2 linked regions of the Drosophila melanogaster genome follow. The main gene of each other region encodes a partner of the protein of the gene in region 2 in a complex. Each region holds a gene or a part of one and is shown on either strand. Other genes may lie near its edges.

What was found. Proteins that work in one complex are often made in the same cells at the same time.
Region 1: the proteins of mira (region 2) and stau are in contact, whole or in part, in a crystal structure (PDB 5CFF), measured with the Drosophila melanogaster proteins. Residues at the interface, in NP_477292.1 of Drosophila melanogaster: Asn514, Tyr515, Leu517, Thr518, Asn521, Thr522, Ala524, Thr525, Ile528, Leu529, Arg532, Ser536, Asp539, Tyr543; in NP_476751.1 of Drosophila melanogaster: Tyr972, Pro973, Lys974, Asn976, His977, Asn978, Glu979, Phe980, Leu981, Ile983, Pro990, Pro991, Gln992, Ile993, Cys994, His995, Val997, Asn1011, Ile1015, Lys1018, Leu1019.

The regions. Positions count from the first base shown.
Region 1 is NT_033778.4:18,122,722-18,127,321, forward strand, and holds the start of stau (staufen), read right to left. Parts: upstream 3,059-4,600; 5' UTR 2,834-3,058; intron 2,207-2,833; 5' UTR 2,158-2,206; coding exon 1,973-2,157; intron 1,153-1,972; exon of another isoform or gene 1,024-1,152; intron 142-1,023; coding exon 1-141. Other genes in the region: Spn55B (serpin 55B), read left to right, coding at 3,719-4,576. UniProt on the Drosophila melanogaster protein: RNA-binding protein which forms ribonucleoprotein complexes (RNPs) that play critical roles in the localization, translational repression and turnover of RNAs during embryogenesis, neurotransmission and neurogenesis.
Region 2 is NT_033777.3:19,931,507-19,936,851, forward strand, and holds mira (miranda), read right to left. Parts: upstream 3,493-5,345; 5' UTR 3,168-3,492; coding exon 678-3,167; 3' UTR 528-677; downstream 1-527.

The sequences.
Region 1 (4,600 bases), on a different chromosome or scaffold from region 2:
TTGCTGGAGATGTTGCTGCCGCTGTTGCTGTTGATGTTGCCGTGGTGATAGGCAGCCCCAGCCGCAGCGACGGCGCCGGCTTGGTTCGACGACGTCTGTTGCTGCTGCTGCTGCTGAGCGTGGAGATGGTGATGATTCAGACTGCAAAACGGAGGATAGAGCAAGCAAATTGGTTAATCGATGGCCACAAGTAAGAGCTCCTGGGGCGGATGCGCTGGCTTCTGCGGTTATATCAGCAAACAATGCACACCAAGAGGATTATAGAGGCCATCGAGACAAAAGTGTACATCGACTGGCGCACGGGAAAAACAAAAACACCAACGAGAGAGGTCCTAGAAGCTTCGTGGCCCCCCCCAACCCTCTGCCGTATGTTGTTGTTCCTGCGGAATAGCAGACAACAGCGACCACGCCGAACAATGGACAAAATCCTAACAAAGCACAAAAGCCGCATTCTCTTACGCATCGTGTCATTTTTCGCCAACTGTCAGTTTCAATTGAGACGCACCTACTGCGACACCCTGCTCCTGCAACCGCTCCCTACCTTTCCTTTCCCAATGATCGAGGGTAGGAGAGCACTCTAGCGACCTTTACCTACAGCCTCGTACATTTCACAAGACAAGGAAATATTTTTGGCAATTTATAATCGCTAAATCAGTACGGAAACAAGCCTTCAAATTAACATTGATATGGGCAATTTGTGATTAGGATCAGTTGATATGCGATAAAAATGTCCTGCGTAAGGGAAAGGTAATTAATTGAATGCTCTTAATGTTTATGGACACTCTTTTTTGAAAACAAGTCTGAGCAATGTGATAATCCATATTTCAGGCTAATACAAATCTGTAGTAATATCTGAAGTTTATTCCTTTCGTACCTTTCACTTGCAAGTTATATGGTTAAGAGGATTTGATTTCATTTGCAAAATCTCATCTCTTATCTTTACGAGTTCTTTAATTTATTGTCTTGCGAACTTATTAGATCCCGCTTCAGTTTCTATAACTTTAATCTTCTTGCATATTTCACCTCTCACTTGGCACTGATGAAAGTCTATCATGATCGTTAAAAGATCGTACGCAAATGTACGTTAGAATCAGCGAACGTCGGTAATAAATTCATGTGCGACCCGATCCGACCGGCAGGCAAAACGCAACTGAATGCGGAACTGGATGAGCAGTTTGCAGAGAGTTTGGCGAAACATATGATCGTAGACAATACGAGGAGCCTGAACTACTGGAGGCCGAGCCGAAGGATACTCGCGAACGTCAAGGATAATTGCAGCGCAGTCGGCAGGGCAAACCCGTTATCATCGAGCGGAAGTCATGCTGAGCGCGAAAGAACAAAGAGCCACTGAAATTATAATTTATGAGTTGAGAAAATGGGATGATGAGTCTCACACCAATTGTCAGTGACAGGAATTAACATAATTGCCGCAACGCATAAAGCTCAGACAAGCTGGCGTTTCGAGTCGATGTGGAATCTCTCTAGGATCCAACCAAGCCAGGGAGATACATTTTCCTCACCTGAGATTCACACTGAGTCCATGAGATCCAACCAGTGGCTAGTGGTACATTATTGCCTAAACAATTTATACTGAGATCTCGATCTAGATTAGGAAACTCTATAAGATGTTATCCCATATTAATAACACACCTATCTAAAAGTTCCTTCCTGTACATAGATAGATGGGAATTCTTCTAGACTTGGAAAACCTATTTAACCCATGTTACCCCTTCTTGTTTACATGGAGTTTCGATTGAATGAAGGGGATGATAACCATTTCCGAAAACAAACTGAACCAACAAGGCGTACCATCTTGTTTAACTCCAAACATAGTTAGAACTGCTAAATTGGAACCGAACTCCAAAAGGTATCACAATTTAATAAACTGATACTACTCTTATTTGACTGAAGGATGAAGCATTATCTGGTTTAATTGTTATTCCTGATAGCGTCAACGACATAGATGGCTTACCGTGCGTGGAGGTCGCGATGTGGAGGCTGCTGGGGCGGCGGTGGCGGCTGCTGTTGCTGCTGAAGACTGGGGCCCAGGTGCTGCTCCATGCCGGGATGCAGATGCATGTGGGCATGGCTGTGGCTGTGATGGTGCGCAGCTCGGATGTGGGGCGCTGGCCGGGCGGCATGAACGTTGTGCTGCATTTTCTTGAGCTGTAACCTTTAGGACTCCCGTATGAACCAGCGACCGCAGCTGCAAGGAGGAAAAGGAACATGGATGAGACGGACACAAACAATGTTTTCCCTGTCCGCACAAAGGGCCCTGGAGGTGTTTCTTTGTGCGGCGATTGTGCGTAAACAAGTTGCAACTGCATGCGGGGCATATAAATGCGAAATGCAAATGGACATGGTGCACACGTATCTACCTATATACATACATACATATGTGTGTGCATACATATATGCGTATATATATATATATATACATAGAAATGCAACTGAAGCGACGACATCGGCCTAAATCAAATTGTGACAGGCGGCGGGTAGAAGGGTTCAAATCGACTGATTCGTTGCCGATGCCAAGCAACCACTCCTGGTTGCACTTTTCTGGTTCTTACGGCCCTCCGGTTGCCTTATGCCTCTGTGTGTTCTTGGTGAAATCGGATAAAATGCAGCTGCAGTGCGCAATTCAGGTTTCGTGCATTCCGTGCAGGGGTTCAAGGACCCAGACCCAAACCAAGACCAAGAACAAGACCTAGACCCAGATCCACACATCCATGGATTCTGTTCCCTTCCCTTCCATTCCGTTCCGTAACCCCATTCCGATTCCCAGTCCGCATCCGAAACGAGAGTGGCATAACGATCTGCAGACGCAACTCACCTTCTTGCGCTCCCAAAACGATTTTCGTACGCAATGGTCACGGGAAAATCACAACAACTGAATGCAAATACTCCGTTCGATCGATGGACACATGCACATCCATTCATGCGGGCTGGCCTCGATCGTTTGCGCAACTTAAAAAACACTTTAGAACTACTTTAACACTTAAATTAAATTGATAAACCTATTTTGCACTGTGGCTGCGGATGAAACTCGAAAAATAATGGCTTTTAGGCGAGCGGGAAGCGGGGTGGTTGCGTACGGCGGTGTTGGAAAGCGCGCGCGCAGAAGCGCCAGGGCTGCACAATAGTCGATCTGGTATTTTATGCCTATCGAAATTGATAACTTTAAAAAGGGCATAAATATTAATTCGAAATTATTTAAATCTGTAATTACGAAATATTTAACTAACAGGCTTATTGATTGAATTACAAACAACAAACAACAGCATGCGTTTTCCTGTTCAAGTGTATTTTAGTATTTGTTGGACAGAAAGCCAGCGTTTTTAGGCGCCAATGCTTAAGGTCACACTGCAAAATAATATTAAAAATAAAAACATATTTTTAAGAATTTTATCATCAGACAAACAAAAACTGAAAAACAGTGGCTATTTAAAGAACGCCCTATTACTTTTATTTTTGGGATGAACCCGGGGATGCCCCCAAGGTTGCTAGATCATGAAAATGATGACGCCACCAATTCGCTTCGATTGTTTTGATAATATTTTGGCTGTGACTCATTCGCCGGCTGGCCGATGTTTTCACTTTTGTTGTGGCCCCGAATGGCATTTAAGGCATTCCGGTGTAGACAGCAGACCAGAGAGCAAGCACACGCAGTTCCGCGATTACGCAGCACACCCACAATTACTCAGTTCAGTCCGTCAATATGTTCGATTTCAATTTGGAATTTGCGCGTGGAGGTGCCCGTTTCACCAGCGAACTTTTTCAGCTTTTGAGCGCTGGCGGGCTCAAGGAGAACGTCGTCTTCTCGCCCTTCTCCATCCAAACTTGCATTGCCCTGGCCTTTGCCGGATCGCAGGGTGAAACCGCCGACGAGATCGCCAAGGCACTGCACTTCGTCTCCAACTTTCCGCCGGAGGTGGCCCAAACGTTCCAGTTTGTGCTGGAGAAGTACCGCAACAGTAACCTGCTGCGCGTTGCCAACAAGCTGTACGTGCAGGAGGGCAAGCAGCTGAAGCCCGCCTACCAGTCGGCCATCAAGGAGCAGTATCATTCGGAGGCGGAGTCCATTAACTTTGCGCTCAACGATGCCGCCGCCCAGGCCATCAATGCCTGGGTGAATGCCAAGACTCAGGGCAAGATTACGGAGCTGGTCAGCGCGGACTCGTTCTCGGACAACACCAGGCTGGTCCTGCTCAATGCCCTCCACTTCAAGGGCAGCTGGGCGCACAAGTTCAGCGAGGAGCGCACCGAGGAGGATATCTTCTGGGTGGGCGAGGAGGAGCAGGTTAAAATCAACTACATGAACCAGAAGGCCAAGTTCAACTATGGCTTCTTCGAAGATCTGGGCTGCACTGCCCTGGAGATGCCCTACCAGGACTCTGACCTCTCCATGTTCGTGCTGCTGCCGCAGGAGCGGACAGGTATTTACGCCCTAGCCGAGAAGCTCAAGACTGTGAACCTGGTGGATTTGGCCGACAAGTTGACCGTGGAAGAGGTCCATGTCAAGTTCCCCAAGTTTAAGGTGGACTACTCCCTGGAATTGGCCGAGAAACTGAAGCAGGTACATATTATTTTTTTTTTTTGG
Region 2 (5,345 bases):
TTGCATGGCAGCCCACACCCCTTCCTTCTCATTCTTCAACGAGGAGTTTCAGCATGAGAAAATTCCACCACATCGAAATCAAAAACGAGTTGCACGGGGTTGGTATGAAAAACGTAAACAATTTCCTGATTCTTTAGGTACAGGCTTTTTTAAATGCATATACAAGATATAACGTATTTTAAGAACGAAGTTCAAGGTGATGATACTGTACACTTCTACATTTTAGATCAGAATACCTTTTATTTCTTTTTTTTTTTTACAGATAATTTGACCTTATATGAATAAATTGGCTAATAAATGGAAAAAATAATTGATGCATTCTCATTATTTTCGTTACATTCAAAGATGAGTCTATTTAATTTAAATAGCTTTAAAGAAGGTCTCACTTTCCAAGACACCTTTTTCAGATTTTTTATTTGATTTCTCATGCCTTAAAATGCATTGCATCAAAATGATATTTTTTATGAGATTAGGTAAGTCCCATATTTCCAGAACACAAACGCGAAAGATAGAAAACAATCAGATTTGGAATTTAGTCGGAGAGTGCTCGAAAGAGATTTCAGAAACACCTCTGGCTGTGTTGTGTGCAACGTGTATTGATTATATTTCGAATCGGATCTTAGCTAAGGTATATAATTTATAATAGTACGATAGAGTAGTTGTTACAAAGGAATAGCCTAGATGTTGCGCGCCTTGAGCACCTGCTTCTGTGGCGGACTGGGCACGTTCTCCTTGCCGGCGAACAGGACAGTCTTCTTGGGAGTGCTGGCCGCCGATCGTGGTGTTCGTGGGGTGTGGGGGGTGCGCGGACTGCGCGGGGTGTGCGGCGCCTTGGGTGTGCGGGGGGCGGGACGGGGCGAGGACTTGCCGGCGGACAGGAGCTCGTTGATCTCGCTGGTGGTATCCTGGCGCACGCACTTGTCCGAGGAGTTGAGCAGCCACGTGGTGATCTTCTCGCAGTCGGATCGCAGCTCCGAGTCGCACAGCAGATCCTCGATCTTCTCCAGATCGGTGGTATTGGAGCGGTTGGCCTTGCCAGGTGTTCCCAGCAGAGAGGCGGATCCCGGTTGCTTGGACTTGAGGGCAATGTTCTCCAGCTTGAGCTGTTCGCACTCCTCGCGCACCTTAACAAGCATCTGCTCCTTGTTGTCCAGCTCCAATTGGGCGAACTGCAGCACGGTGGCGAATTCATCGAGCGCCTTCTTCATGTCCACCATGTAGGCCTCGCGCGTCTCGTCCTTGCGGCGCAGCTCGTGGTAGTGGGCCAACTGGGCGTCGCCATCGATGCGCTCCTGGAACGAGTTTGCAATCTGATTGAATTTAGCCAACGTCTCCGCCTCGCCGGCTAGCAGCTCGTGGAGCAAGGACTCCTTCAACGATACCTCGCTCTGCAGCGTCTGGGAGGAGGATCTCAGTGCGTTGAGCGCATCCTGGCTCTCGGTCAATTGCTGGCGCAGTTGCTCTGCGTCCGCCTGCAACACCAGATAGCTCTGCTCCAGCGCTCCCTTGGCCAACTGCACCGATTCCAGCTCCGCTCGGTACTGCTCCACATCCGCATCGGACTTCTTTAGACGCTCCATCAGAATGTTGACGGTGGCCCGGGTGTTGGTCAAAGTCAGCTGGTAGTTGTACTTCTCGGTGATCGTCTTGGCCATGTCCTGCTTCAGCTGCACCAGCTGCTGCTGCAGTGCGTCGCTCAGCTGGATGTAGTAGTCGATGCCGTTGCGCAACTGCTCTTCGCATTTCTGCAGCTTCTCGTCGCGCATGCGCAGCATATCATTGGTGGTCTCCAGCAGCACCATCACGTCCTGCTTCTCCAGCTCGATCTTGATCAGCTCGTTCTCGGCCAGCTTCTGGCGCTTGTCCAGCTCGGCGCGCCAGTAGCTCTTCTCGCGCTCCACCGCGCTCTCTAGGTCGCTCTCAACCTGCTGCTGCACCTTGGCCACCGCCTGCTGCTGCTCGGTGTGGCGAGCCTGTTCCCGGCACAGCTGGCGAATGGTATCGCAGTGAGCATCGATCTCGCAGTTCTTGTCGAGAAGCTCGTCTTGCAGCGAGCGGATCAGAGTGCACTTGTTGGCCAAGTCATTCTTCAGGGTGTTGCGCTCCACCTTCAGACACTCCAGTTCCGCCTGGCAGCTCTTGGCCTCCTGTCCGTAGGACAGGGCATCCTGTTCGATCTGCTGCTTCAGCTGGACCACGTCGGCCAGCAGGGAGGCATTGGTCTTCTGGAGATTCTCTACCAGCTCAATGTTCTCGGCGGTCTTTGCCTGCTCCAGGCTGCAGTGCTCGCGGGCCTGAGCCACATCCGCCTGAAGAGCAGAGAGTTGTGCCTGCAGCTGCTCCTCCACCTTTTGACGATCCTCATTCGCTGTCTGCAGCAGCTCGTTGGCCAGACGCAGTGCCTCGCTCTCGGCAACCAACGCCTCCACTTGCCTTTCATGCTCGTCGTGCTGTTGCTGCAACTGCTGCTCCATGGCGGCCAAACGCTCCAAAAGATCAGCGTGCTCCTGGCCCATCTGCTCGTTCAGAGCTTTGTGCGATAAATTCTCACTGGTCAGGGCTTCGATGAGCCGATCTGTCTTGGAGGTAGCCAACTCATGCTCCTCGCGCAACTTGGCCTCGGCTTCCTTCAACTGATCCACATGGCGGCGCAGCACGTCCAGTTGGCTCAACTGGCTCTCGATCAGTTCGTTTTTGTGACGGATTTCGTACTGGAGTGCCTCCTTGCCCTTCAGACGGCTGGCTGACTTGGCCTCCTTTACGGGCGTGGTGGCTGCCGAATGCAGAGGAGTGGATGCCGCTGTTGAGGCGCCACTTCCGCTTCCGGTGGCCGTATCCGTGTGACTGGGAGTCGGACGGAAGCGTAGGCGCTGCGGCAACGAAGGAGTACGGAACAGACGTAATCCCTTTGACTTTTTGTCCTCCTTGGGAATGGCAAATTCCTTGGCCTCCTTCGAGCTGGACGCGAAACGCACGGCGTCCTTGAAGAACTTCTCGATCTGCTCCTTGCGTTCCGGTTGAACGGTTGGCGGAGCAGCGGCTGCCGAAGACGCGGTGGGCGTGGCACTGCCCGCCGATCCCGCCGAGCTGTTGGACGCAGCTGGCGAACCGCAGATGGCCACATCCACGTCGTTGAAACGCTTCAACTTGGCCTTGGAGAAAGACATTTTCGAATTTGTTTTTTGGACTTTCGGTTTAACTTGGTAACGATTCTTTTCGGATTTTGTATCAATGTCTCATTAACAACGCTCGTTTAACTTTCGATATAACAATAACTCAACGATCAAACATAAACACAACTTTAACTTTCGGTTTAATTTGGTTATCTTTTCCTTAGGATTTTTAGGTAAACTGTTTAACAATATGGTAGTAGTCTGTAGTCGTATTTAATTCATCTGTACTTTGTGGTCCGTTCTGTGCTACACTAAACCCGCTATCCCGTTGCTACCCGTTTCACTGTACCTACGCGTTCCGCTGTCAAAACCTAACTGAGCTCACCTTCTGTCCAAGATCCCTGAGGCAGACATAGCCTCCAGCTGGCACAGCGAGTGGAAAAGGGATGGATAGAGTGTGGAAACGAGATAGACCCAGGGGAGGCAAAGAAAACAACCCTCGCTCGAGCAGGGGTCGCTTCAACGATCCTGCATTGCTTCACCTATGTGGGATATACCCAACATTTCAGGTTGGGTATTTCCGAGATCTTCAAACGAAAAATGGTTTATGGTTTTCATTTCGTAGGACTTTCATTTTAATCTAATAACATTAACATTGAATATAATAATTAGTGGACATAGAAAATAATATCACGACAATTTTGGATTTTTTAGATATTAGCTGAACAAAAATTTCATATTCCTTAAACATTCTAATGTTAATTTAATATTAGACAAGTCATTTGCAGACGGCATAATTCTTCTGATCTTAACCACTTTTCAATTTAAATTAAACATATAATATTATATATTTTCTATAATGTCCTCTTTTAAGAGTATCTAGAATTCAGGTAAGCCGAGTTATACGACTCCTAATTTTTTTTTTATTTGGTGGTAGTTCGTGCCACAGTTCTTGATCCCCTGTTCGTCTTATCTGTGTGTTTGTCAAGACGTCGGCCTCGTGTATATAAAGGAAATGTTTTCATTTTAGCGCGCGCAAATGTTGCAATTGTAGTTCAAGACAGCACGAGGAGGGTTCGAGACCGGAGTGGGGGTAGCAAGATGGGTAGGGGTGGAGATAGGACGACGGGGTTCCGCATTCCCCGGCTTAAGTACATATGGGAAATGTGCCGTTGCCGACGAACAGAGACACACTCACTCACATCTGCCTGGGCTTCTCCTTTCCTTCGAGGACTACAAGTAAATGCGATTGCTTTCGAGAATTGCGAGACTACGAGTACAAGGATATGAGCTGATGGCTGGATGGACTGCCTCATCCGTTAGCTCCAACACAGCTGGCAGCCAGCATAATTCGTTAATTTGATACGAAATCCGATGCCCGCATAATTAAAGGAAAATGCGTCGGAAATGGGCGAGTTGCGCCTGCGCAATGAGTTGAATGGAATTGAGGCTAAATGAATTGCATGGAAAATGGAAATGCGTCGGGAAAATTGATTTTTCATGTGATATCGCTAGGCAGTTGGGCAATCGGCCATCTATAATCTGTATAGAGAACCCCCTCATGATATCCTGCTGATCCTGCGGTAGCTGCCTGTGCATCCTGTCATTTTTTCACTTCTTTTCTCCAGTGAGTTTGTCACAACTGCCAACTGAAATCAGCTGGTTGTTCCTTTGATGGCAAACAATGACCGGAAGATTCTAGCAACTGGGAGGTGATAATTCTAGGTTAAAGCAGACAAGCATGAAATTCTGGGTGGGTCAGCCACACACAGCTGTGCAAAAGAATTATAATGTAGAAAGACAATGTAGGGAGCCATAGGACAAGGGAAATCGTTTGGAAATCAATAGAATATTAATACTCAAGCATTACTTTTTAATTTATATTTATGCTTCACAACCTTTGTCAATTTATATAGTTCATGTACATAATATGTATGTATATAAGGTTACGAAACCATCCTTTGGTTTCATAGAGGTAATATTTTCCCATAAACATATTTGCATTTGATTTTCCCAAACTCTCTTATAATAAAAATGGAAATTTTACGAAAAAGGGTTTTCATTATTCGCTGATCCAATGATGTGCAGGACTCACAGTAATATTAATGATGTTAATGACATTTACCCTACGCCGCGACACCTTCAACATCATTTTCCCATGCCTGTCCATGCATAACTACCATTCATTGAACGCGCTATAAGGTAACGCGATCTAATGATGTTTCCATGGGA